4 linked regions of the Lepisosteus oculatus genome follow. The protein of the gene in region 2 interacts with the protein of the main gene of each other region in a pairwise test. Links are inferred from orthologs where the notes say so. Each region holds a gene or a part of one and is shown on either strand. Other genes may lie near its edges. The genes, in order: thap1, c6h1orf35, stac3 and srrm4.

Region 1 (6,919 bases), on a different chromosome or scaffold from region 2:
TTGTCCACCTGCTCCTCCAGCTGCTGGATCCTCTTCTTCTGCTGCACGGTGTCCTCCACTGTGTAGTTGTGGTCGCAGGATATGGACATGCTGGGAAGCAGGGCTGGGTGCACAACCATCTGCACCACGTTCTGCAGCTGGGGCAGCCCGGGTTCCTGAGCCGGCAGTGGCGAAGGTGGTGGTGGTGACTGTTCAGAGTCAGTGAGGTGCAGCTCAGGGGGAAGAGTCATTTCTGGTGGGGTTTGCTCATCCAAGGCCTCATCCTACAGGATTGCATGGGGAAAAAAAAAAGCGTTCAGTGAGCATGAATGTACAGTACTTCTCTCTCTTTCAGATGGAGTCAAATGTGGGATGATATATCATCCTCCAACGGAGATAGCATCAAACAACGGAGATATTTCCAGGTACTGCTTCTCATGAACATGAGAACACTTCAGTCTTGGAGTTCAAAGCTCTCTTTTTCTTTTCTTGCCATCAGAAAGTTCGATCTATTCCAGCAAAGGCCTGGCTTTTACAAATGGTTGCTTAAAAATGATACCCGACAGATTTTACAGGCTGATGTACACTACAGAGCCTTGCAAAAGAATTCAGACTCTTCCTGTGGTGCCGAGTGTGAAAGCGTACCAGCACTACGCAAGTCGTAAAAATAGATATACACAAGTGAGCACAAACTGATATTGCCTGCCAACAAGGTGCAATACAAAAATACAAAAGGTTACATTTCACAGGTAATTCATTAGTCCAGATATTGTAGTCAGCACGTTAAGGGCCTATAAAGGACCTCAAGGTATTCAGTGTCTGAATACATAACTTTTTCCTTTCATATCAATTACTTCTTTCTTTTTGTTTTTGTTGCTTTGAATGTGTGGAGGCTGTGTACATAAAGATTAATTGCCACTTCAAAGTATCATGACTTGCAAGCTTTATAACAACAATAAGTGAGAACTGTACAAGGGTTTGAATACTTTTGCAAGGCCCTGTACCTCTTCCTGTCACATATGTCACATATATGAATATGAGCATCCTGTGACAATGACTGCACACGGAGGACACCAAATTCCAGAGGATGCTCAAAAATAAAGGTAATTGTTTTCTCCTTAAAAATAGAAAGTCAACGATTTTCTTGAATTCTGAGACATAAGAACTTGAAATAACCTTAACCCAAGAGGTTATTCTCAGTCATGAATTAAATAACACTAGCATTCATTTTCCTAGGATGAGACAAGAGTCTGAACATGCCCCTTGGTTCAATTGGTGGGGTCCAATCTCCATATCCTATATTCTAGTCCTAGCTGAATGTTGATCAGTAATCAGTTACTTAAATGTTGTTTTTTCTTACGATTAAAAAACATAGGCTGGAAATACAGCACTATTTCCAGCCGATATACAACATACGTAAGTCAGGATGTTATGAGTTCTTGGAAAGTTTGTAAAACATTTAGCCTGTGAAGACACTGAACAATTGCAAAGCACGGGAGTTGAACTACTGTACACAAGATGAAAAAACAAACAAACAGCAGAGCATGTCACATGTTTGAATTCTTAAGAAAAAGTGACCTTCTCCGCCTGGCTTTACCTTTTCATCGAGCCTGTTGAAACAGAAGAGCGAGGGCACCGCGTTTTCCTTCAGCACGCGGTTGTTGCACTCGCGTTTGAAGCAGTCCTTGGTGAAATGCTGTGAGCAGATATTGCTGTATTTAGTGGGCTTGAAGTTGTTCCGTCTCATCGCGGCGACCCATTTTCCACACACATCAGGCCGCGCAAGAGGAAACCTGATGAATAAGCAAACACGACTTCAAGAGGCATTGCCTTTCTCTTCATATATTCATATGTTGTTTTGTTTTGTTTGGCGTTTGAGAGAACAACACAAGTCCAGCACTCCAGGATTTATAGTAATACCTCCATATTTTTTACATGGTATACCTTTATTTGACTTCTAAGAGAATTTATAACAATAACGTTTATTGTGTTGTTCAGGGCAATCAATCTAAAATAGTTATGAAAAAATCTTTAGTCTTTAAAATGCAAGCCAACCGAAAACTACGGCACTTACACTCTTCTGGCTAGTTCAGATCATATGTAATTTAACGCAGGGCAATACATTAAATTAAGGTGTAACTTAATCGGACCACATCCAAATCCGTGCAGCACTGCTATATCCCCGACTCTCCTAAACATTCAGCTGTCCTAGAGTTTGTCATATCCACATATCCAGACGTCTCCAGCTCCAGAGAGTGTGGAAACTGACTCGTACCCTAAAATCACACATCAAATAATATTTAATACTTCATATGAAGAACAGGGCTGCAAAAATCGCTACCTCGTCGTCTGTCCCATTTTCAAACATGACAGTCAGAACTGGCATTTACAGATAAAAGCGAGGGTAGCCCTGTGTTACATTTCCATTCTTTTTCATAAACACTGCCTTTTTCCCATTTCGGTATACGTTTAATTTAATGTATCCATCTGAAAGGTGGTAATTACACAAACTGCCCTGTCATGTGCTCCTCGGAGGATAACGCACCACGATGTACGAGTAGCAACCCAGAAATGCACGTCATACCCAAATCATTGATTTCGCTTACATAAAGATCGGCGGACACACGCTTTGTATCTCCGATCAACTGATTTTATATTCATTTGCTGGGCTTCGCGGAGAAATCACGGCACGGTTTGCCCCGTAGCCTACTTGAGATTGTCCCCTCAGTATTGCAAACTGTTTGAAAACAGCTGTACTTGCGCCCTGCGGTGACCGACAGGAGTTAACTTACTTGTGAAAAGAAATGTTCTTGTCCTTGTGATATCGGTTTTTACATCCGTACGCCGAACACGACTGAACCATCGCTGCCTTTGAAAATAAAGCGCAGCGCAGGTGCGACTGCAAATGTTACGAATGCCTTTTTTTTATTACTATTTATTCATTAATTCTCCGCAGAAGAGGTCCCTCTCCAGTTTCCAAGATGGCTGCTACGGCTTCGCTGGCTGTCACATGATGCGCATCCGTGCTTCGGGTTGGTCACTCCCGTGGAAGAGTCTCCTCTCTTTTCGGGTGACGCACCTGCAGTGTACAATCACGTAGACAAGGCAAATCTCAACGTGCCGGGGACGAGACGTGTACATTAAAGCAGCTTTTAGCATCTGGTGGACGTGTGACACATTTAACCTGCATAATTGCCCTGTATCCATTATGTTATCGCGACCTCCCTGAAGAACCACTGCCACACATTAGAATGATAGCAGCCGCTTTTTCCAGCGAGGTGACATAGAGGTATTAATTACAACAGAACATACAGTACATACAGAATTTGAAAAGTATTTCTTTTTTTCGGGGTGTGGGGTATCCTTAAAACTTATCTGTTTCCAAAATTGGAAGTGAAGTGAAGCGTTGAGGTATTAGATCTTGAGGAGAAAATCCAGGACGAATGCGTCTTATTGGTAAACATCTTGAGGTCGTGGTTTACTTGGAAGTGAAAAATAAAACGACGTTCTTTTACGGTTCATTGGTTTTATACGCTCACAACAGCTTCCTTATGAGTATATCGAGGTGGCACTGTAGTTTTAAAGCGTATGTCTTCTAAATAAACTCAGTTTACATCATGAAAGACCTAATACTTGACGATAAATTGATCTACAAACTTGAAACTTGGTGTGGCAGGGGCTGCACGGAGAGGCGATTATTTGACTTAACACCCCAAAGTGCATTTTAAAGGCACTTGTATATAATTTATCATAATTGTAGCTCTGAAATCTGAATTGTTGAAAAAATATTTTCCTTCTGAGTTATTTTAAAATAACATTTGAATTCACACAAATGGCCTACAGCTCAAATTTCTTGACAAATCAATTTCATGTTCTAGACCAGGGATTCACAGTCCTCCTTCTTCGCTTAAATAAGTCCTTAACCTATAGTTGCTTGGTTAGAACATCTGCATGTTTTTCTTTTTTCTTTTGTTCTACTGAAGTCGCTTAAGAAACAAAATACAGTCAAAGGCAACTTCCTACTTTTTTAGGAACTGAAAACAAAGAGTTCAAATTAAACCTATTATTATGTCTATTAAGGGTTAACAATTACTTAATTGAGCACTTAGGTGGAACAAAAACTAGCACATGTGTTGTGGGTCCCTGGGACTAAGATTGGGAACCACTGCTCTAGAAAATCCCTGTCACCCTGCATTGGATAAAGCACTCAGGAAATGGATGGATGTCCTACAAGGTGCAGAGAGAAAGCAAGATGAGGGCAAAGCAGCACCACGGAGCAATCCCAGCAATCTCAGAAAGCAGGGCCCCAGGTAAACCAGGTGACTTAACCCAGAGTAGGCTGTTGTGCAATAGCTCAAGTACAACACTACCCCCCTCCCCCTCCCACCTTAAAATGTAAACTGCTTTGATGCAACTACTTCTTATATATCATAATTTATATATTCAGTATTTTTAAAAATTTTTACTTTATTTTTACTGATTTGGTTTTACTCCAAATGTACTGTAGTGGACTCCAATTAGCAATATTATGACATCTTATTGATGTAAAACATTTGACATGTTAAGCGTGGTGAGGCTGACTACAGGAGGAATATACTTGAGTTATGGGATGATACAAAATACTTATATACAAACAGGCTTTCTTCAGGATATGTGGTCTTTTTAAGATAGAAATGACATTTTTGAATCCAGTGTCAAGGGTCCAGAATCACATTCCAGGCCTAGCTGTAGTTTGTTCATTTACAGAAAGATGTATGGATACATGCTTGATGTCTCCCATCATTTGATTGGATTTTTAAAATTGATTATATATTTAATATGCATATATATATTTATAGCTACCTGAGAACCTGCAAACAATTCACCTTGAACTTGAACTTTATTGCCATACAGTATGTAACCGGTACTGGTACAATGGAATTCTTACTTACAGAAAGTCTCTCGATTGTAAAACAAGTGTAAAAAACAAGACAAAGTGCAAACAGTGCATCAAGACAATGTACAAACAAACAATAGACAATGTGCAAGTAAACATGTAGACAGTTTGAATGTAAACAATACAGATATGTAAACAATGACTGGAGATGTGCAATAGATAAGAAATCATAAAGAGGTAGATGGTGATGGTGATGGTGTAGGTGTGGTCCGAGGGGGATGGCTAAATGTGGTCGCCAGTCTCACTGCTTGTGGATAGAAGCTATTGAAGAATCTGGTGGTAAGTGTCCGTATGCTCTTATATCTCTTGCCTGAGGGCAGTGGGGTGAAGAGCTCATGCCCGGGGTGGTGACTGTCCTCTGTGATGGCCAGAATTCTACCACGGCAGCGGTCCTCATAGAGCTGTTTAATCTCTGTGAGACCGCAGCCGATGATCTTCTGGGCCATATTGACCATTCTCTGCAGTGCGCGAAGAGGTGTTGCCATACCACACGGTGATCCCGTTGGTGAGGACGCTCTCGATGGTGCAGCGGTAGAAGTTCACCAACATATGTATTGGCATCCCCCATCGCTTGAGGCACCTCAAGAAATAAAGGCGCTGCTGAGCCTTCTTCATGATAGAGTCAGTGTTCACAGTCCAGGTTAGATCTTTAGAGATGTGAATTCCCAAAAACCTAAAGCTGAAACTTAAATGTACTGTACAGTATACCTTATATCTCATAGTGGACTAAACTTCCTTTAATGCTTCAGATTCTTTAAATCTATTCTTATGTCTGTGAAAGAGTTGTGTTGTGTAGCAAGGGTCTAGTTCAGTTATGAAAGCAATGAAATGAACCTCGCTGCTTTCCTCCTGAAGAAGCCGATTCTCAGTGTTTACCTCAGTCGCTCTGTTTTGCGGTGTAAACAGGAACCTCAGGGTGTGCTTTGAACAGGAAACAGGGTGAAGAAATGCTGTCGAGAACTCAAGAAGAAATGTGTGTATAAACACCTGGGAGGAACTCAAACCCCCCAGAAGGCACAGGTCGAGCTCCTTTGTAAGATATTTTGAGTGGGAAAATAAAAGTTAATGTTCCACTGTACTCTGGCAGCAATTTGGATTTTGTGTTTCTTGACCAGCAGACCAGCGCTATACCTAAATGACACAGGTAAATGAACTCAATTTAACTTCTGCATACTGTGAGGTCTTGGGTGAACTAGGCATGTGAATAAGGGAAACTCCAATTTTATTTTTACTCATTGTTCTTCCTCTTTTTCTTATTGATCCTTGGCTTGTGAAGGAGCGCTGTTTATCTTTCACTGAACGCTATAGCACCTGCCTGTCGAAGGCAAAATAGTCAACAAAGAAGAAGTGTGTGAGAAAAAGTGTGTGAGAAGAAGTGTGTGAGCATATCTTCAAGACTAAATAAGTAAAACATAAACTTTGTTTTTTTCAGATCTCTTTAGTATGATTGAAATGGTCTAGGTTTGTTGATATCATTCCCCCTTATGTGGGTTATCAGTCATATGGAAAGTATATGTAGCCACAATACCTTTAGCGCCATCACACTACTGTATTGTGGTCATACAGTATATAGCTGTGATTTTCATTGAAATATATAGTAGGCTGTTGTGGTGCCATTTCAGTGCTATAAATTCGAGAGAATGGGGGTTATTTACATTTTGCAATGTGCAAAGTTGATTGGTAGGTTAATGTACCATCATGTATTAACATATATGATATATAATATATTATTAACATAATATATTTAAGACCATATATATATTGTGTAAAAATACTGGTTGTATATTGTTCAGGATGCATAGCTTAACCTAATAGCATCTATTCATATTTAATTATTGAGAACTGGGTGATAGTCTGACTTTGGATTTGTTTGTAATATGATCTGGAGAACTGAAGGCACCAAACACTTGTCCTGTGAGGACATTAGAAAGGTTAGGTGGCCATCTGGCCATTCCAGCCCATTTAGTACTTAATTGAATCCAAAGATCTCTTTCAGACATTTTG
Region 2 (7,113 bases):
TAACCGGAGGATCAAAAAGGAATTGCATTTAAAACAGACAATATCAGGTGCCTCTTTACACATAGTGTTGTAGGAGTCTGGAACAAGATTCCCGGCCATGCTTTCAAAGCTGATGCCCTGGCTCCTTTCAAAAAATGATTGGATAGGATCATTGGATAACTTAGCTACTAGCTACCAGCACCCACTCAAGCTAGGTGGGCTAAATGATCTTTTTGTAAGCAGTGTATACCAGGTTTCAAAGGTAGCCTTCAAACCATTAATTTTTTTTAAAGTTCTGAAACAATTTATCTACAGTATAATCAATTAAACAGGTGTTGTGTTTATTTATGTAATTTACTGAGCACTTGTAACAAAGATCAGAACATCCTTAAGCCCTCAAGGACCAGAGTTTCCTTAACTGAAACATTCATCCATCCATTTTCTGGGAGGGAGGGAACCGGAAACTCACACGAACACAAAGTTTCCTCTCACACACTCCACACAGACAGCACCCCAGGTCTGGAACTGAACCCAGGGACCCAGTGCTGCGAGGCAGCAGTGCTAATCACTGTACCGCTGTGCTGCCCTGCATTGAATCATCATTTGCTTATTTGATTAAATGACCCTAATTTCTAAATAACTGGGGATTTCGGGCTGACCTACAAAATAACTGGACTTCTGGACTCTCTCGGAATCCCGTCGTGTGTTCTTAAAATAGCCGATGTAGTGGGACATTCTATTCATTAAATGCTACTGGACACAGTTAACATAAGTTAACAGAACAACTGAAGTGTACTTTGCAAATGATTGAGATGAGACACACTTAGCAAAATGCAGGATGTACCTAATATAGTAAAGACAATGAAACATGTTGTGAATTCAGAGGTAGCCCATCAGACGTGGCTCATTTAAAATTTTTAGAAGCCCAAACTATAGCAGAGTTTAAAAGGGAATATAAAGATAAGGTAAGCTAAATTTATAGGCTTAAATTACAATTTTAGCTAGACATTTGCTGTACTGGTACAAAGGTAAAAATGTAATATCATGGCAATATTATGGTAAGTTACATATGTTCCACAATGTCATACATTAGTAAAAGATCTAATTAGATTAGGGTCTAAAATGATGTACTGCAGACACTAATGCAGGGCTGGAATCAAAGAAAAGAACAAGACTCATGTAGAAGGAACAGTAAATTTACAGCATATTGCCATGTTGTTTTTCACACTAAATGAAACCAAATCAGAAACAGATCCAGTTCAGTTCAATTACTATGGTAAGCCCTCTCACAAAAGCACGAAAAACCAACCTGGGAGTGCAATTTTATTTTTCATCTTTGTAACAATTTCTGTATCATGATTTTTATACAGTATGTGAACAGGAATCTGAACTCTGCCTAGCAGCAGTTCATCTGGACACAAGGTCAGGATTTTTTCCTGTCATGAGTTTTTATACTCAATGAATTAAAAAAAGCTATTTCACAATTAGGTCAAACACCACGGGAAACAATTTAAATCATGACTTTACTATTAAATGCATGTGATCAATATTTCCCACTGACGGAGTTCATCATGTGTGATTCATTAAGAGCCACATGCTGTCTGCTGCTGAATAAATGATTTATATGTAAATGTTTTAAACAAAAAGGCTAAATGAATGACTGGACAAAATCATGGCAAAAACTGAAGTTTAAATATTGAGCAGTTTAAGTATATTAAGCTCTAAATGTACTGATCAGACCTCAAAGATAGTATAGCCTTAGAAAGAGTTCAAAGAGCAATAGAAAAATGACTGGTTTTAAGAGACAGTCAAAAGTAGACAGGATGAAGGAGCAAAATCTATTTAGTCTTTTGTTGAGAGATGATGAGAGGCGATTTGATCCTAGAATACAAAACCCTGTATAGATAGGTTCAACCTAGGGGACCATTTCACACAGAATAGTCTCCTCTCATGCATATGTTCTAAACAAAATTTACTACATGGGTGGCGAACAATGTTAGACTCGTATGTTCTTTGCATTGCACGCATTTTAAAAGTCAATCATGTGAAAAATAGTCCTGTTTAGACCTAAATTACTTATGATCATCTGGACCTGTAGATACTGTAGACGTCTGATAATAGTTCAATACATTGGACTTCCACCAATCACAGTAAGAGGTTCAGAACATAAAATTCAGACAATCCCGGACTACATAAAGTCTTCTGTGTAGCTTTAGGATCTTAATAATAATAATAATAATAATTGCTTACACTTATATAGTGCCTCTCTGGACACTCCACTCAAAGCGCTTTACGGGTAATGGGGCTCCCCTCCACCACCACCAATGTGCAGCCCCACCTGGATCTTGGTTACTATTTCTTAATTTTTTTCCACAAGGATTTCTTCTTGGGGCTCAAAGAATGATCACGCGGAGATCATAAGCATTAAAATGGCATTCACCGTTTCCTCCACTCTTGTTTTTTGTTTGACTAATTCACGCCTAGGTGTGGCGCTGACTAGGTACATTATCCTTATCAGGAAGCTGTGGGAAAGCTCAAATCCTGTATCAGTCACAGCTGATATAAAGGAAGAAAAGTAAACTTTGCGTTATCTTGCCTTAGTTGTGATCCTGCAAAGCACAGAATTCATGAAATCTCAAGAGAAAGTCAAACAACCAGCTGGACGTACAAACCTGTAACAAAAAGGCCATTTATTACAGTTAACCCTATAAGTAACAAAACACTTACATGCGACCATCAATGAAACTGTAGTCAATACGGGGGGAGAGATAATAGGAAACGGGAACAACAGAGTAAGAGAAACTTCACCGGGCGCAACGTGCCTTTTGAATAACATCCCATTTAGTACACTTACACATACACAACTCTAGTTTAATTAACTCTCAGCAAACCGAAAACAAAAACTAACTATAGCGTTTTACGCTAGGGTATACACTACCTTGTTAATCTCAAAATATTGAAAACGAAGAGCTCTAAAAGACAACGCAAAAGCCTTTTGCATCCTCAAATGCAGCGTGGTACTGTACGACATTGAATAATGAAAGGCAAGTCTTCTTTCATAAACGTTTCGAGCCTACCTGAAAGAAGTCTGGAGAAAATCTTCTGATACATGTGAGATAGATGTAACACAAGAGCTCAAGACTATTTTCCCCACCTCTCCTTCCCCTTTCCGCAATTGTAGTATTCTCGCATGAGCTCCATTAAATTACGATGCTGTACTTCGACGTCATCACAGTGAGACAAAGACAGTGTGTTGCTGTGGTTACTCGTCGCGTCTACGCGTCTTAAAGTTATAAATCCTACTGTAGCACTTGAATATCAAACTATTTCGTAAGCCTAGAAAAGAAACACCGTTAAAATAAATATAATAGAAATTAAGACGTGTCTGTAATGTATGCGTTACAACAACCATATAATATATAAATCGATTTGCCATGTGTCACCATATCGGTTAGTTAAATTTAATTGTATATGACAGTGTTAACTATTAAAGTTCCCGATGCCATTAGCCACCTCTGAATCATTCTAGTTTAATTCGTTTACGAATATGCTCCCTCTATCGGGAAAACACATAGCGTTTCTTCAGATAACTAGGGATTATTTTTATCCAGTAAAGCAGACCGCTTATTATAGCCACATAACGACTTCATACTTTCCAGATTGGCACTGACTGCAAGAGCAGAACAAAACAAATACACGTCAGCTGTCAGTGACTGCTGCAGGGAAATACACCACTGCGCAAAAAGGCGGCTGAAAATGAAAATGAGAGGCTTAAGAAAGAACAGTTCAAACTAAAAAATACCTTAGTAAAAGTTATTTTAAACAATAATATTGTAATGAATAATTAACAGCAAAGCAGACGAATACAACACGGTTACTGATTAGAACAGTTGTGTAAAATGGTTTGCTTTAAAACATAAACTGGATGAATTTAAAATCATATAAAATGAAGCTCATTTAAAATAGATAACGAATAAGCAATTTACATTTAGCGTCATTGATGTCAATACTTAATCTACTGCATACCATTTATTACCCAATTCAGAACCTATGTATTGTGTACGTACTAAATGCAGCACCTATGTATTATGTGCGTACTTAAATATTGTAACCTCTCAGTTACGATGAACAACATTAGTTGCCATACATTCAGCCAAACCCTAGCTTAGTTGAAATGGGAGTCAGAACTGCAGTGACTGCAGGCGGAGGGAAGAATTAGCGCCTAGTGGTGGCGAAGAGTAGACCGCGGATAACCAGTGCTGAATTAGTAACAGTCTAGCACGCTGCAGTCAAGAAATCGCGTGGACACATAATTTACACCGTATATGTGTACATTATTTTATGTTAAAAATCAGAATCCTGACTTTCGGTTTCTCCTCTACCCATAACAGCAGCCTGGCTCAAAGCCACTTAAACCTGAAGGAACCCGGAGTATTTTTACAGGAAACTCCCCGGATTGAACAGGCCGCACAATAGAGAAATGCGCATGTAGCCAAATAGTATTGTTATTAAGGCTTTCCGAAATTTGTTATTTTACTTATACAAAAAAGATGTTTGGTTCTTCGAGATCCGGTGGCGTGAGAGGTGGCCAAGACCAATTCAACTGGGATGATGTGAAGAGCGACAAACACAGAGAAAACTATCTTGGTAAGTCATGCACATACAAAGCAAACTTCGCAAGATGTACTTCCTCTTTTTGAATAAAACATCAATGCATGTTTTTTTTACATTTTTTTACTCGGAGATTAGAATAAACATAACAGAAATTATATTTTTAATAAAACCTGCAACGTGGTCCGAATTAATTACAACCTCGTGACTGTTGTAAAGCCGGAATTCTCCGAGAGTAAGAAGGAACAGGAGCATTATTAAAGGATAGGGTGATCACATTGACAGTTGCGATTCTTACCTTTTTCTTTTCGATATTCCTTCATCTCATAATCTTTGTGCTTTCTCTTAAAAATATAGTTCGCCCACACAGCTCGATTGACTAGGTCACGTTCACGGCTCGTCTATCGCCCTCTCTGAGCTGATGGGATGCCGATCCTCTCTGTCAGATACCCAAGTTACACGTTTCCTAAGGGCATTGGGTTGTCCATCGGTAGAGTGAGTTCTTTGTAATGCTGAGCAAGAGTATTGACCATTTTGCATTTAAGCATATTTTCAATTTCTCTTCAGTCGGTACTTTGTTGAACCATAGAGAAATCCGTTGAAGAACAGGGCTCTTGAAAAACCATTTGTCCCGCACCACTTCGATTACATTATACTATAGTAACGTTCCTTGTTGCTGCGAGTCTGTTATTACAAATACGTCTAATGTAACGCAGCCAGAAAAAAAGTCTAAATACAAAATCTAAAACGCTTTGAGTTAGATGAGGGTACTTGAGATACTTAAGTGTTTATGTTGACACATCATTAACATTTTATCAATATTGACTCACATCAATATTGACATGCAATTTAAACTATAAACGAAATGTTAGGATATATAGTTAAAAGTAGATTTTAAATAAAGGGATACTGGGTTAAAACTGTATTGTGTTTTTTGGTCACCAAGTTAAAGAAAGGGTATTGCTGCTTTGGAATACATCCAGAGGCGAGCAACTAGATAGGTTTCGGGCTTCCAAGGCTTCAGGGAATGTCCTGCACTGACAGGCTGACTGAACCGAGTCTCTTTAGTCTTGGAAAGAGATGGTTACGAGGAGACCAGATTCAGAATACTCAAATGCATTAACCAAGTCAACTCAGAAGATTTCTTCAGAATAAACGGTGAAACACAAATCTGAGAACAGAACTAGAAACTATGTGGAGGTGTATTTAAAACTGAGTATAGGAGGCACATCTTTACCACAAGGGTTGTGGGAGTATGGAACAAGCATATGGTTAAAGACTAACCCTGGCTTCGTTCATGAAATGGTTGGATAAGATCCTTAGATTAATTAGCTACCAACTTCTAAATAACATGGGGTCCACTCATTTGTAACCTTATGCTTTTTATGACTACAGTACCCGAAGTCAAATTCCACTTATAACTATTTCATTAAAGTTATTAGGGGAATAGGTTGCCCAAATGTATCTGCCTGTTTCATAAAACATTTCCCCTCACATCCAGGGAGAAACAGTGAAAATCTGCTGAAAGTGAAAGTCTGCTGAAGAAAAGTGTTTTTTTTTTTCCTCTGTGCAAGGGTCAGTTGTTCACCTTCAGGGCAAATGAGCTTTGAAATGTAACAGTTCCAATGTTCAACATCATTATACAAAGCCTACAGCAATATTTCTTTTTCCCAAATGTCCAAAATTATGTATTGTATTAATTTAGTTATATCATGTTTTTTATCAAAGAAAAGAAGGTCTCAAGTTCTAGTAGAGAAGAACCAACTTGTGTTACACTAACCACTTAATACAGTAATAGTAATGCGGTATCTGCTGCAGCTCAGAAGAGAGTGAGGTCCAGCCCATATATTCCTTTTCCCCCAAAAGACACTTGATGTAACTCCTAGTCAGGTCTGTCATGCTTGTCAAAGGCCTGAATGGTGTCCTCTCTGCTGTGCCCTTACAGGGAACTCTCTGATGGCACCAGTGGGCCGCTGGCAGAAGGGCCGGGATCTGACGTGGTACGCCAAGGATAAGAAGGGCCAGGCAGTGCTGTCGAGGGAGGAGGAGCTGGCGGCAGTGAGGCAGGCGGAGCAGGAGGCTCTGATGGCAGCTCTGTGAGTCACGCCCTGTCAGAACAGGGCAGGTGCATCTCTCCATGCATGCAGGGGCAGATGCTCACCGCTGTTAGTCCCACCTCTGTCATTTCAGTTGAAGCACATTTTGTCAGTTTTGGTGGTGTACCTCTCCCTGACGAGATCCTGACTGATCCAGGTATCACTAACTACTGACAGCACTATGTTACAAAACCCAATTCATTTTAAGTAAAGCATTAAATAGTTTACACGGCAATCAGCAGTAATGTCTTTCTATTGAGCTAGAGAATGAGTTAATTTGGTCTACAGACCCAGGTCCAAATTCCAAACTGTTTGTCCATTTTGCTGAGACTGCTCCTGTAATAATGCCAACAGATTAAATAAAGTTAAGCAACCGTCATTACAGCTGTTTTCTGGCCAAGTCTCAAGGTGCCATGACACAGGACAG
Region 3 (7,143 bases), on a different chromosome or scaffold from region 2:
GTCAGTGACACCCATGCATCATGGAAATGTTTCTGGCCTTTCCAGGAATCCAGGAATGCTTGACATGATTCAATAAGGACATCACAACAAATTTCTCATCTGGAATTATGGGAATTGGCAGTAAAAAAATAAAAAATGCCGCCTTCATGCTTGTATGACTGAGGGAGGAGGAGGGCAAAGTTTTTCCTGGGGGAGAAGGTTAGGATCACGGGCATGTCAACAGGAGGCTTTCTGCAGGCTCCCCCGTCCAGTCCGAATGGGCTGTTTGCCGCGTGCGGCTGAAGGATTAGTGGGCCGCGGTGGCAGAGAGGTGAGGTTTCAGCCTGCCTGTGTTCTGTGCCACCCCCTGCAGTGGTCAGCCGCGTGCTGGAGGTGACGGACCTCCCCGAGGGCATCACGCGCACGGAGGCCGAGAAGCTCTTCAACCAGCTGGCCATGTCGGGCGCCAAGATCCAGTGGCTGAAGGACACGCAGGGCCGGGGCGACGGCGGGGGCGGCAAGGGCGACAACGACCCGGCGCACCTCTACACCGTGGTGGCCGTGTTCCCCAGCACCATGGCCGCCCAGAGCGCTTCCTTCAAACTCAATAACTCCACCAGCCGCTTCAAGCTGCGCGCCACCAAAAAGAACTATGACCTGCGGATTCTGGAGCGGGCCAGCTCGCAGTAGGGCAGCGGGGCAGGGTCGCGGCGGGGAAAACGAATCGTCTCGACAAAAGGGAGGAGAAGTTCCAGATTGGCGTACTCCAACTTTCTATTTTTTTTTATTTACCTTTGTTTTTTGGGTCTTTTTTTTTGTCAGAAGAGCACACAAGACACGCGAGCATGCGTGCGGTTTGATGCGCGTATGTGTGTGGAGCATTTACTGACCGTGTGCGCGTGCCCACCCACCCACACGCACGTACGATGACCCGACGCGCGGCGCACACGAGGACACACTGGACAGTCGACCTCACTTTACCCACAATCCCCCACCCCACCCCCCAAACTTGTCCTCCATCTTTTATTTTCTGCTCCTCTGCTACCTCCCCCTTGTCCTGTTTTCTCTACTCAAACTCCCGGTCTCTTGCACCCTCACCTTCCCTTCTCACTCATACTCACGACTTCTTCCCTCTCCTGGCGCACTCTCGCTCTCTCTCACTGTAGCGCACACCTCTCTCTCTCTCTCGTTCTCTCTTGGCTGCCTCCGTTGGCTTCTGTTTGCCTTACTACTGCTGTGGCTTCATGTGCTGCGCTGTTGATCTTTTCTTTATTCTGTTTCTTCGTTCGTTTTCGTTTTTTTGTTTTCTGTTTTTTTTTGGTTGAATATATTTATATAAGTGATTTAAGGATTTAAAAATATATATATTCAGTGATTTCAGTGGAAGAGTTTATCCCTCCCGTCCTCACCACACACTCTCGCCCTGCTCATTCTCAGCCCCTCGCTTTCCCCTTCCCCTGCCTTGCCTCTTCTTCCTCCATCTTCCTGCTCCTCCTCCTTGATCTTTTCTCTTTCTTGTGTTTGCGTTTTTCGTTGACAGCTGTGCAGAACGTATCAGAAGAAGTATTTAAAAAGTGCACAATTGATTGCATATGTCTACTGTAAATTTTATTTAATCTGTTATTTTTGTTTTTAAAAATATAAAAGTGAAAAAAAAACCCTGCCTGCCTGTTTGGTCTCTCTTTTTTCCCCACTCCTCCTGTTTCTCTTTCGAACAGTGCTCTGGAGGAATTCAGTGGAAGCCTACATCCAGAAGAGCATTTGTTAAAGGCAGACTTGCAGAAGTGCCAGTTTCTCCCAAAGTTTCCATTTAAAATGATCTTTTTATTGTAATGGATCAGTTACTGCCCAGTGCTTGAACTGTATTGTTTAGTGTTCGCAACCTAAAACTCACTCGGTTTGTTTTTCAAGCTCATATTCCTAAAAAAGACACACTTGTAGAAACTGATGACCACAACCCCTAAACGTGAGTAAGCAAGAATAGAATGATGTTTTTTTTTTTCAAATAGTTTCCACATTGCTTATACTTGCTTGCATTTATCTCTGCCCCCCCCCCACAAATGGTCCTGTGTGCTTCACACACAGGGGGGAGCCACATCATCTCCCTCTGCAGTGCTGCACCCACCTGGCCGCCCTGCACCAGCGCGAGTGAGAAATTCCCCCCCAGACTGAATTATGAGATGGGCAGGGGGATTTAAGTGGGTAGGTTTTGCAACATGAGCAAACATTTAAGGAGCAGGCAAGTGGGAAAGAGGGTTCCCAAGAGGAGCTGATCTGGACTGAAGCCATAGCAATCCGTAGTGTCGTAGAGTTCTTCCAAGAAGAAGCAAAAACCAAGTCTGCCAGAATCGGGGAAATGCTTTCAGTGTGGTCCCAGCCAGTTTGTCTGCAACGGCTCCTTTAGAAAGGCTATAGACCTCGTCTGCTCCTCCCACACCCTCCCCTTCAATTCATACTGATCCAGTTATTGACCAGTCTCTGATTTAGAAACTTATGCTTTGTAGGGAATGTTAATATGTATGTTTATAAAGATCTGTAGAGAAGTATTTAAATAGTTCAGGTCAAAGGATAATCAGTTTGGTTGCATGATCACTGCCTGGGGTCTAACAAAGACCTGAAAGCTCCTGGGAAGTGGAGCCTTACGCTGTTAACAGGCGGTAATGGGGAGTGGAAACTAGTAGACATTGTATTGACAGGTCAGACCAGCCCTGAGATTGATATCCTGTGGTAAAGACACTGGAACGGACTGGGGAAGCCATTGTCCAGGGGTGCCAGTCACACCTGTCTCTCAAAGATTAGTATGACCATGATTCGTTGAATTTGTATAGCACTTTCCTCCCCAAATGCCTTCGAAGCCTTTAATATGCGGGAAGGCACCTACTTCCAGACACTGAAGTGCACTCCCTCCAGCAGCCATCCTGCACAAGTGATCAGGTGCGCAGGTGAGAAACCTCAATCAAGGTGCCATGCTTTAGCAACATCAATAAGACATTGTCCTGCTGAGGTAAGTGTAATTGGAGGGCATGTGTGTTTTTGAATTCTATAGCTTTGGTTAGATCTGGAACTTGGTTTGGGCCCCGTTTTTCTGCGGGTTTGACAGACATCCAACCCACTGAAGCTCAGCAGGTGTGAGCCTGGCCTGTACCTGGAGGGGAGACCTCCTGGGAAAGCTAAAAGGTTGCTGCTGGAAGAGGTGTTAGTGGGGCCAGTAGGGAACGCTCATCCTGCAGACTGTGTGGGTCTTAATGTCCCAGTCTAGTGATGGGGACACTATATTGTAAAAAAGGCACCATCCATTGGATAAGATGTAAAACCGAGATCCTGACTCTGTGGTTATTAAAAATCACAGGGCATTTCTCAAAAAGAGTAGGGGTGTTGTCCTGGCCAGATTTTCCCCGGCTTTCGCCAATTGTGACCTCCTAATAATCCCCATCTATGAATTGGCTTCATTACTCTGTTCTCCTCCCCACTGATAGCTGATGTGTGTTGAGAGTACTGGCGCACTATGGCTGCTGTCTCATCACCCGGGGGGGCTGCACATTACCTGTAAAGCGCTTTGAGTGGAGTGTCCAGAAAAGGTTAGATAAATGTATTATAATGAGATGTCGTCTGTATTCATCTGTCCCATCACACACTGGAGTGTTTTAGGTCAGGTGGCTGATCGGCTGTACATTTCCTTTATTGCTGAAAGATTGGTGGTTTTGGACCAGATTAATAAAGTAGCTTTGACCCAACTTGATTGAAATTTAGAGTAGGAGGTAAAAGTGTTGATTCCATAGAAACCTGAACCTGGCCATCAGTGATCAAGATTTTGGTTAGGAGGCTTGACTTAACCTGTGCTAAGTACGCTTTTTAGAACACGTTGTGTTTGTTCTTGCATTGGTCTCCCTGTCGGTGTTTCTTTGTTTCATGGTTAATAAGCAATGAATACAGTAAATGTGGTCTGTCTAGAGAGTCTGAAATAATCCTTGACAACCTGTTGGCAAATTGTTAGTTCTTTCACAGTAACGACATGATAAAGGTGGGGATTGTCTCCCTCTGACAGACCCCTAGCCTGTCCCATCAGAGGTGTCTGATTTCCTGGTGTCAGCTCCTCGTTGCTCAATCCGTGTCAGCTGTTCCTGACTCCTCTGCACACGCGCGCACCCCCCTCTCCACAACACTCTGGTCCTCTGGCTTCAAAAACACCCCTCCTGTTGGAAGGGCCATTTGGAGAGTCAACCACAGCAAAACCCAGGGACAAAATTGTGCCGGACTGCGCTGCTGGTGTTAATATCACTGGCAAGTTCGAGCCCCTTTGGAAACCGCGCAGGAATTTCCAATTGGCGATTCCTTTCTGAAGAGACTAGAGCCACAGAGGGGAAGAGAAATCCCAAGGAGGTGAGAGGATTGTGTTTTTTTCCCCCGGGTGGGGCTCGTGTATTTTGCTTTGGCTTCAGAGCTGGACACCCCCTACGGCTCCTCTTCTTGTAGGAATCGTTCCTGTTGAGTCTCTCCGATTGCACAGGCGAAACAGAAATGCTGACTGGGGTTAGGAGAGGTGCTTGATTAAAATGCTCCGTGTGTAGCTCTGGTCCAATCTTTAATGCTCTGAGATTAAGCTCCAGTCGGACACCCCAGTGAGTGTTCTAGAGCGTTACTGTTGTAATTCAATCTGGGCTCCTGGGCCCACGATGCTCCGGTTTTAGTCATGTGGAGATCAGGTTACCCCCTAACCAGGAATAGAGCAGAGCAGTCTGAGCGCGAGTCACACACAGAGAGAGAGAGCGGGGCAGAGCTCATTGGTGTACAATCGGGAGAAAGAAGTGTTTGGAAACTGTTTATTCCCGTTGTTCTCCTTGGGCTGGCAAGGCTGGGCCGACCTGGAGGAGTGCTGGTCAGTCCTCGGACTGGTCGACCTGAACGACACCCGCCTTCCCTTCGCGCCGGCGGCCAGTAACACAGGAGGAGCGCTCCGCATGAGGAATTGTTTTCAGCTTGCCCAAGGCTTCGTTATCCCAGTTCCCAGTTTCACCGTGTGCTACTATCGGGGCTATCTTTATTCCATGACAGGGCTTCCCAATCCTGACCCTGGGGATCTGCTGGCGTTTGTTGCAGCTGAGCTCTTTACTCAAATGAGCCCTTAACTGAACCAACAAGTCGCTGGGCCAGGACCCCGCCAAGCTATGCTTGTCTGCTGAAAGGCTGGAGTCCTCGTGTTACTTAAATGCAATGGCTAACAGACAACCTCCTCCATGTTTAGGAACTGCAAACGACGAGTTCAGACCACACCTGTTATCATCAGGTGTGTTAAGGGTTCAATTACTTAACTGAGCGCTCAGGTGGAATATAACCCAGCAGATGTTTGGGTTCCCAGGATCAGGACCAGGACACCTGCACTTCTGCTACTAGTGCCAACACCACTACTGAAGCTATGTACTTGATATTGCAGCTGCCACAGCGGGTAGTTACCCTTCTGCAGCTGCTGTTTCTCCTGCCACACCTTCACCTACAGCTAGTGATCTACTGGTCCCTGCACTGCTGTCGTGACTGCCGCCATCTCTGCTTCTACTGCCGCGGCTACTACTCTCGCTGTCTGTAATGGATTTGTTCCTCATGTTATGCTAAAAGATGCAAAAGCACCTGTAACAAGTGTTCAAATTATACTAGTGGTCAACGTATTACCTGCATCAGTGCTAATGGCAGTGCAATGGTGTAATATAGAGCGTTTCTGTGTGTCTCTCCCCTCTCCTGGCAGGGTGTCCTGCTACCTCAGGAGTGGCCCCGTGCTTGAGAGCGAGGGAGACTTCCCCCAGCAGTGATGGCGCAGTACGACCAGTGAGTCCCGATTCCTCCGTCTTCCCGCCCAGTTTGCTCGTTGGGCAATGTGACTGATCTGATGAGCACAGTGCCTAGAGCCTCTAGCAGAGGGTGATCTTGCTGCACTGTCAAAACCCCACCCTGCCTGAGGTTTAGCAACATTGCAAGGACACGTGAAAACTGGGAGAAGATGGTCCAATTCAGCCAATCATTAACATAACATCACTTTATTAGCCCTCTACAATTTCTTGCATTAGGAATTAATCTTTTCGCAGACCCCAGCTTGCTCTCCATGAGACACAGACAGGGAGAGAGAAGCTGGGGGTCAGAGCGCAGGGTCAGCCAGTGTACAGCGCCCCTGGAGCAGTTGGGGTGAAGGGCCTTGCTCAGAGGAGTAGGATTCCTCTGCTGGCTGTGGGATTTGAACCGGCAACCTTCCAGCCACAGGCGCAGATCCTTAGCCACAGCGCCACAGCTCCGCCCATTAGATTAACTAGGTAGTTAGGAATGAAAACCTACAGTGCAATCCTGGACTAGAATTGTACAGCCCTTGAGAATCTGAATGCAGGAAGAAGCTCCGTGAAGGATGTGAACTGAGACAGTTCTGTTATCCTTGAAAAAGGCCTTGGAAGCCCATGCTGTCACCACGGTCTTCTTTAGGAACAGCAGTTTCCCTGCTGTCTCGTCGATTTGCGGTGAATACTATTATCTCTTACACCAGATCGTCACTGGAATTACAGGCTGCATTTTTCCTCATGCAGGTCCCTGCATTCCTGCACAGCTCTGTGCAGTTTTGCACAGCTGTAGAATGCCAGGCAGGTATTTCAGCACAGATCTGTGCAGGTGCTGGCTGCAAGGAACCCGGGTGACATTCTGACCCAATAGAGTAAAACCAAGGTCAAAAGTGGCCCTTACATAGTAATATATAATTATACCCTTTATTATTATATTACCTTTGAATGCTTGCATAATCCTGACCTCTACAATCAGTTGAATCCCTCTCAGACAAAAAGTAAATGCAATTTCGATCTTCTCTGCTCAGTATAGTTTGGAAAAAGCTGGTTCTCCTGAAGCCGAGTATGATGTCTGAGAACCTGCAGCCTTGGCCAGCAAGCGCAGTCTTCCATGCTCTGTGTGAACACAACCACACACTTATCTACTGTACACCCATCCATTTTCTTACCACGTATTCCAGTTCAGGGTTACAGGGGAGCCGGAGCCTGTCCTGGTAAGCAGTGGGCTAAAGCAGGACACATCTTGGATGAAACGCCAGTACATTACAGGGCAGATACTGTAGACACAAACACAGACGTAGACACACACTCGCTCACACCAGGGCCAACACTCCCAGAAGCCAATTAACCT
Region 4 (6,838 bases), on a different chromosome or scaffold from region 2:
TCCCCCACCTTCTCTCCCCCTCCAAAACTGGTTGCATTTTTAATGAGCCTCACCCTGGTACAAAACAGCTTGCAGGATATAATGACCCAGAGAGAAACCCTCCAGCTGGAGTGTTCGTGAACACATCACCCTTTTTTCCCCCAGAGTTGAAAGAGGGTGGGGGGAGGGGTACCTCTCTAATTACCCAACGGCAGTCAGCAGGGGAGGCTATAGTCAGCTCCAGTGACGTTTGAAGAAAAGGACAATACATAGAAAATGAAAGGGCAATAATTACACATCCCCATTCTGTAGTTTCCTTTTTCTCTGCTATCAAGCATTGTCAAATGCCCAGTTCAGTGCTTATGCACTGCAGTATGTTACTTCAGCAAAGTGGAAGATTGAGGCCTGCTTACTCAGTGGGGATGAATGCTTTCGATCTGCTATTACAGTACCCACAAATTCTGTTGAAAGAGATATTTCCCTTTAAACAATGAATGGCTTTGGATCTTTCCCAGCATAAGTTCCTCAGGGTCTTCTCTGTGTTCTAGTGTGTATTTAAGAATGGATACAATAAAGAGAAAGAAAACCCTTCCAAAGCTTAACGGTGGCTTAGTTACATGTGATTTTTAAAAAGGATGCTGGGTTTGTAATCTGTGTGCCACACCTGCTAACATCCTCTCAAACACACAAGAGGTGAGTTAGATCGAGCACAACTATCAAACAATGCAAAAGTGACAAGAATGAAGATCATAATTTTACTGGGGTATACTGTATACTGTATGATGTTTTACTATCACACTGAATATATTGGATTCTATAGTATTCAGACAGGATTCATGTTTGAAATTGCTCGGTTACACTTTATGTAGAGAAATTATAGAAACCATATAGCTATAATAAGAAAATAACAGAGGGCAGACTTTATTATTGTTGTGCTTGTTCTGGAAAACCACTCTCACAAGTAATTAAATTTGGATTATACTATGCTATGGAAATGCAGCTGAATATATAATTGAAATACTAGATTAGTTTCAAAGAAAAGCCCTTATTCTGTCAGAAGGGAGTATTTCCCTTATTTCACATTTTCTGTACAAATTGCTTATAATTCATCAGTCAGTTTTGTTAAAATAAGAAGCTTACCTAAAAAAAACAAGTAATCATCTTCACCAAGCAAGTAAGGTATTAGCAAACTGTCATGTCTTGATATTTATTTTTTAGGAAAATATATTGACACATTCAAAGAGTAGCTAACTACATACATATATCAGTTAGGGAATTTTATATCATTAGTACTTTTGTAAACGTTTAGTGTCTCTTATGCCCCCTCTGATTCAAAACATTAAGAAGAAATACAGTATGTTTATTTTACAAGCTAATTCACTTATTTACTCACATAAAAGCCACATTTCTAAAATAATGCAAGTGGTTTGAAAAAAACAACTAAATGTTGCTTGCCTGTCATCATTTTAAAGAGAAACGGGTTTTAACTCTGAATAGTTTGAAAAATAAAAATATCGGAAGACCTGAAAAACATTGTAATGCTCAAATGTATTATATTCTGCAGTGCTCATCTGCTAACTACACAAACTGGCTACAACTTTGTATGGCAAAGAAGGTTTCTGCAGACTTCAGTCAACATTTATGAGCCTCTCATAACGGTCTGCCCTCCCAATGACTGAATTAGGATTGGGTGAGATAAGAGTTGTCAGCGCTGGATCTTTACGGAATGTAAAGACAGCAAAGCTGGGATAAGAGATACTGGCAGAGCACACAGTGGTTTGAAATGAATCACAAATCACTTTTCACTTGCCAATGCTAGCTGCTGATAATCCAACAAGTCACCTTTGTGATACTGGTGAAAAAAAGAATAAATAAGTAGAGCAGCTCATATCTGACAAAGGCAGAAGACAGTTCAGATCTTAAGGCAGAAAACTCATCAATTTTTGTAGGTAAAATGCAGTTTTTACACAGTTTGCCCCTTTTTGGCAGGTCACGCAGACGTTTCCCAAAGATGTGTAATTTATTAACCATTGCCAGTTATGAGGAAAGTTAGGTGTGGAGCCAAAAAGCTTTTAAAGACAGCCTGTTCCTCTGGGCCTTTTTCTATTTTCATATTTTGTTTATAACATGATGCACTCAGCAACTCAGACAGAATCAATTAACTGAAAAAAAGTAGACAAATGTATCCGAAATTAATCAAGGAAACGAATTAATCCGAACCATGTGTCTTAAGTTCGGTTTTAAATTCAACAAATAGCCCTATTCTTCTCATAAGTTAAAGGTATAGTTAAGTGGATCGGTTTGAAATGAAGGCACTTACTTGCTCAAAGTCCTTCTGGCTGTTATACTGGCTACAATGATGCTTTCTGGTCTCGGAGTGGCCACAGCTTTGAAGGTTCCCTTCCAGAACTTTTCAAAGAGCTGCTTCTCTCCTTGCTGCACGCTGGCCATGGCTTGCTGCTCTTCAGACTGGGCTCGTGTGACCGAAGGCTGGAAGTAATGGGGGGAAGTGGCTGACAAGGCTGCTGCTGAAGCTTCAGTCGCCGCCTGCTTGCTGCTGCTTCTCACACACAACACTCCTGAGCAAGGGAGCTGTCCAAATACTGAAGCCCAGAGCTGCCGCAAAAGCCTTTAAGTCTCTTCAAATGCCAAGGAGCAATCAGTTACTGCCGTTTCCTGTCTTTCTGTCCATGTGATAATGCTTGCTCCACTAGAGACAATGTGATGTCACAAAGGCTGCACGACGCACCATTTATTTAAGGGTTATCATTATTTTCACCATCCCTTGCCTTCTGTTCATTTGCCCATGGATTTCTTGCTGTCACCTGCTTTGCCTTGGTTCAGGGGAGGCAAGCCAGTGTCCAGTCCACTCACCATGAGTTCAGTCTGCGGAGGCTCTGTCCGTGCCGCTGGATGTGAGCTTCGAAGAGAAAGCCAGTGCGTAGCCAAGGACAGTGTAGTGTCGTGTGGCTGGGAGAGTGTGCGTGTGTGTGGATGTATGTGCCCAGCTGACGATCTCTTGTTTTGTCTCTTGTAGGCTCTGACGTTGAAGCTGGGGTTGGGTCACCAGAGTAGGATGTCTTTTCTCTCTCTCTCTCTCCTCTCTCTCTCCTCTTACTCTGTCTCTCAGTCTTCAACAAAAAAGCGGAGCCTGCTGGTTCCATCAGCATAACAAAAGGCAGCAGGTTTTGGAGAATAGGCATTACGTGTGCCTGACACAATGCCTCAGGGGGAATTGCCTGAAACTTCCCACAATGCCTGTGTGTCATTTCTCTTTGACCCAGAGGTGCTCAAGGATGGAAGAGAAGCCAGAATAACAGCCTTTTGTCTTATGATAAAGCAAATTCTCAAACCACCTCATATGCTCTATGATATCCTCTGTGATAGATGTAAAAAGTTACGGATTCATTTATCTGTTTTTGCTCAATTCCATGTTAAAAATGAGTATAATGTTCCAATTTAGCTTCATGCTCTTGGCGTTGATTAAAAAAGGTACTGACCAATTGTGTTAAGTGAATGTACATCAGAATTATCTGGAATCTTAAAAAACCAAGGCCGAAGCATTCAGTAAAAGGATTTTAGTCTGAAACTGAAAAAGTAAGCACTACTACTTTTTCTTCTTTACTGAACATAGATGTGTGATGTAAAATGCTACAAGAAAGTGTGGTGGTGAAAGTGTTATAAGTGTTTTTTTTATAAATCAAGACATTTTAAATGTATTCGACATATTTTTAACTTCTAGTTGCTGTCTTGTTGAAAGAACTGTAAATTGGTTTAAATACTTTACAGATGTTATAAATAGGATTTTCTTACAGTATTTTAACACTAAAATATACAGTACACTAAATATATGCAACAGTGAATTTCACGGAGCCTAGTTGCTAGTTGCTGTCTTGTTGAAAGAACTGCAAATTGGTTTAAATACTTTACAGATGTTATAAATAGGATTTTATTTTAGTATTTTAACACTAAAATATACAGTACACTAAATATATGCAACAGTGAATTTCACGGAGCCAGCAATAGCAGATAGGTTTACTACAGCTGAGTGCCCACATTTCTATTACCAACCTGGATACTGGAAGATCTTGTTCAGTGGTCTGCTACACAATTTTGGATTATGATCCCATTTCCAGGGCTCCTAAGGTTCCAAAGAGCACATATCTTGAGCCATGAATATGTTCATATTTTATCTGCTAAAAAAACAAAGATATTGGCAGAGATACATGAAAAGCATCCAGCTCCTAAACCCAAAAGAGACAGAGATAGTCTTCTTATCCAGACTACATATCTCCATGTGTATTGTGTAGCGTGTTGCCTCTAAAAACACAATATATTACAGTAGACTCTACTCAATGTATTTATGTTTTGAATTGATAAACATTTTCAATACAATCTTTGGGTCCTTTTTTCTGATTTACTCAATGCTTAGGTCTGGCACAAAATGGTAATTAGGAAATAAAGAACTAAAGTGTTATTTCAAAATAACTATTTGTGTTTTTTCCAGTATTCTTTAATTGTACCACATTGCTTCCAATGGATCCCTTGAGTTAGTATTTAGGTTTTGCAATTTTAGAAAGTCACTACCAAGTGTAAAATGCAGTATGGATTAATGCGTCAAAGCTACTAACAACAGTGTAATGTGGTTGGCTCCTGGGCGTTTAACTTTGACTGCCTTCATTAAAATGCAAACTGTGATTAGCAGAGCATTCTATGACTCCAGTATGTCCAGTCTGAAATATGATGATAAGGTATTGCATTTACATTTGGTCATGTTTTTTGCAATTGCTTTTTTTGAACCCCTTTTCAATCTACAAACCTCACACACCTGAGCCCAATCAGGTCTGCTCAAGGCAGAAAACCTTCCTGTCAAATCTTTCTTTCAGAGGGAACTAGGTCATAGAATAAAAACTTAATGAGATGGCAAAAAATGGGGAAACTTTACTCTTTTCCTTAGCATAAAATGGTTTCCTAAGCATTTAGGAAACAAGCCTCAATGCATACAGTGTATATATATATATTATTGAAAATAATAATATTCCAAAATGTCACAATCGTGTACTGTGCACCTTCTAAATTTAAACTTAGAAGAAGGACACCTTTTACTGTTGGTGTTTAACCATTTAGGAAAGGATAAAGAACTATTTTTAGTGTCTTATGTGGGTAATGGTTTTAACTTAAGCGACTAAAATTAGTATTTATTTATACAGATTAACTTTTTAGTGGAGTAGTCTGAATGAAGTACTGTACCTAGCTCATGGGTACAACAGGAGGCCCCACCTGGAATCTGAATCCACAAACTAATATTGACTAATATGATTCTGCATAGATCTATAAGTAGCCAACTGTATTGTTCACACTACTACCATATTCACTTCATTGTCAGACATGCTAACGAGTTGTGGCATTTGAAGAAGTGCACACATTGACACTTCAAAGTGAAGGAAGAAAGAATTCCTAAAGCAACAGCCAAGTAGATGAGTATTAAGCACTGGTGCTGACACAAGAACGTAATGCTTTTTCTTTGGATTTGTATGGATGCAGGAATCAAATCCCATTTAAGGTTTGAGATTAGTTTAATTGTAACGGAAATGGCGATTTCCTGAGAACATTGAAGGAGACATATAAGGCGTATTTCCCACAACAGTGTTACAGAGGGTTTTATAGGCTCTGTACGTCCAGCCATGCTGTTGCTATGAATGGGGGTTTAAGAGTGATCATTTCCCTTGTGGTCTAGTGGCTCCTTCTGATTATGTTATCTCACTTTTCAGCTATTTCTGAGATATCATGTACAACAGCAGGTGTCGGTTTAAAATTCACTCAAGCCTGGTCAGGAGTTATGACCCCAGGCCAGAGTCAGATTTCTACAGATTCATATTTTTTTTAGATTAGTTTTGCTTGTGTATGCTTTCTCGGTTTTCGGTCGCACTCCAAAATGAGTCAGTTAAAGTAAAGGAAATCTTTTCAATTACACCTCTTGCTGTTGCAGAGGTATTGAGCAGAGACATGTTGTGCAGTCAATCTCCCTAGGTAATTAAACTGCATACTGTAGCTCTCCACCAGCCCTCCCTCTTTCTGCTTCTTAGCTACAGAGATAGATAAGGTGTAGGGGATTTATATTAACATGTTCTCTACAGTTCTCCAACATTCATGTAGAAACATCAGTAGCTGAGCAATGCCAATCCATGATTTTTTGGTAACAAATAATTAACATTAATTCAATCTGTGAGCTGAATAAAGAAGTAAGAAGCATCTATATTTAATGTCAATAAAGTTTCTTAACAGAAAGAACAGCAAAGGTCCCATTACAGTTCTGTACTTGGTAAATTACTGGCTACAGAATGTTATTATATTTGGAAATTTTGTGGCATTAATAAAACATGACAATTTTCATAGGCACTCACATTTCTCATATTGTTCAATTAGAGGGAGCTCTATAATGATTTCTCAATTCTCCTGCAGTTTTGGGAGCTTCACCAAGTACCATCTGTAATCAGTGCCCTGAATCTCATTTCTGTTAATAAATATTAACACAGATCAAATTAAATAAACAGAAGCCAGAAACTATCAGGTGATGACCATTGACGAGAGTCTATGACCTTCATTAAAAAATATTCGAAAAATTCCACTAAGTGAATTTAGGCTTGTTGGCCGCCCTTGGTAATTGCTGTTTGTGTATTTTTAGAGCAGCAAACTGGTTCTTGTCATAAGTTTTATTAAGGCTCAACAAAGGGGTGAAGGGGAGTATGCATAATTGTCTTTCCAAGTGCTCCTGAACCGTTGAGCTCATATCGCACAATCACTCCCTAAGTTGACACTAACTGGCATCCAATTCTGCAGACTAGGCTTAAAAAGACCC

The links.
Region 1: the proteins of c6h1orf35 (region 2) and thap1 interact in binary tests that used the Homo sapiens proteins (3 or more experiments, as listed by UniProt). The two-hybrid records come from large-scale screens. The link is inferred for Lepisosteus oculatus from reciprocal best matches to the Homo sapiens genes C1orf35 and THAP1.
Region 3: the proteins of c6h1orf35 (region 2) and stac3 interact in binary tests that used the Homo sapiens proteins (3 or more experiments, as listed by UniProt). The two-hybrid records come from large-scale screens. The link is inferred for Lepisosteus oculatus from reciprocal best matches to the Homo sapiens genes C1orf35 and STAC3.
Region 4: the proteins of c6h1orf35 (region 2) and srrm4 interact in binary tests that used the Homo sapiens proteins (3 or more experiments, as listed by UniProt). The link is inferred for Lepisosteus oculatus from reciprocal best matches to the Homo sapiens genes C1orf35 and SRRM4.

What each region holds. Positions count from the first base shown.
Region 1 is NC_090698.1:64,312,292-64,319,210, forward strand, and holds the start of thap1 (THAP domain-containing protein 1), read right to left. Parts: upstream 3,027-6,919; 5' UTR 2,843-3,026; coding exon 2,772-2,842; intron 2,738-2,771; exon of another isoform or gene 2,588-2,737; coding exon of another isoform or gene 2,586-2,587; intron 1,773-2,585; coding exon 1,577-1,772; intron 264-1,576; coding exon 1-263. UniProt on the Homo sapiens protein: DNA-binding transcription regulator that regulates endothelial cell proliferation and G1/S cell-cycle progression.
Region 2 is NC_090701.1:29,716,010-29,723,122, forward strand, and holds the start of c6h1orf35 (multiple myeloma tumor-associated protein 2), read left to right. Parts: upstream 1-4,088; 5' UTR 4,089-4,529; coding exon 4,530-4,626; intron 4,627-4,888; coding exon of another isoform or gene 4,889-4,913; exon of another isoform or gene 4,914-5,050; intron 5,051-6,535; coding exon 6,536-6,686; intron 6,687-7,113. Other genes in the region: guk1a (guanylate kinase), read right to left, coding at 3,057-3,090.
Region 3 is NC_090696.1:18,376,342-18,383,484, forward strand, and holds the start of stac3 (SH3 and cysteine-rich domain-containing protein 3), read left to right. Parts: upstream 1-4,137; 5' UTR 4,138-4,359; intron 4,360-4,776; exon of another isoform or gene 4,777-4,855; intron 4,856-5,716; 5' UTR 5,717-5,779; coding exon 5,780-5,796; intron 5,797-7,143. Other genes in the region: R3H domain-containing protein 2, read left to right, coding at 353-669. UniProt on the Homo sapiens protein: Required for normal excitation-contraction coupling in skeletal muscle and for normal muscle contraction in response to membrane depolarization. Required for normal Ca(2+) release from the sarcplasmic reticulum, which ultimately leads to muscle contraction.
Region 4 is NC_090717.1:4,265,964-4,272,801, forward strand, and holds the start of srrm4 (serine/arginine repetitive matrix protein 4), read right to left. Parts: upstream 3,024-6,838; 5' UTR 2,431-3,023; coding exon 2,300-2,430; intron 1-2,299. UniProt on the Homo sapiens protein: Splicing factor specifically required for neural cell differentiation.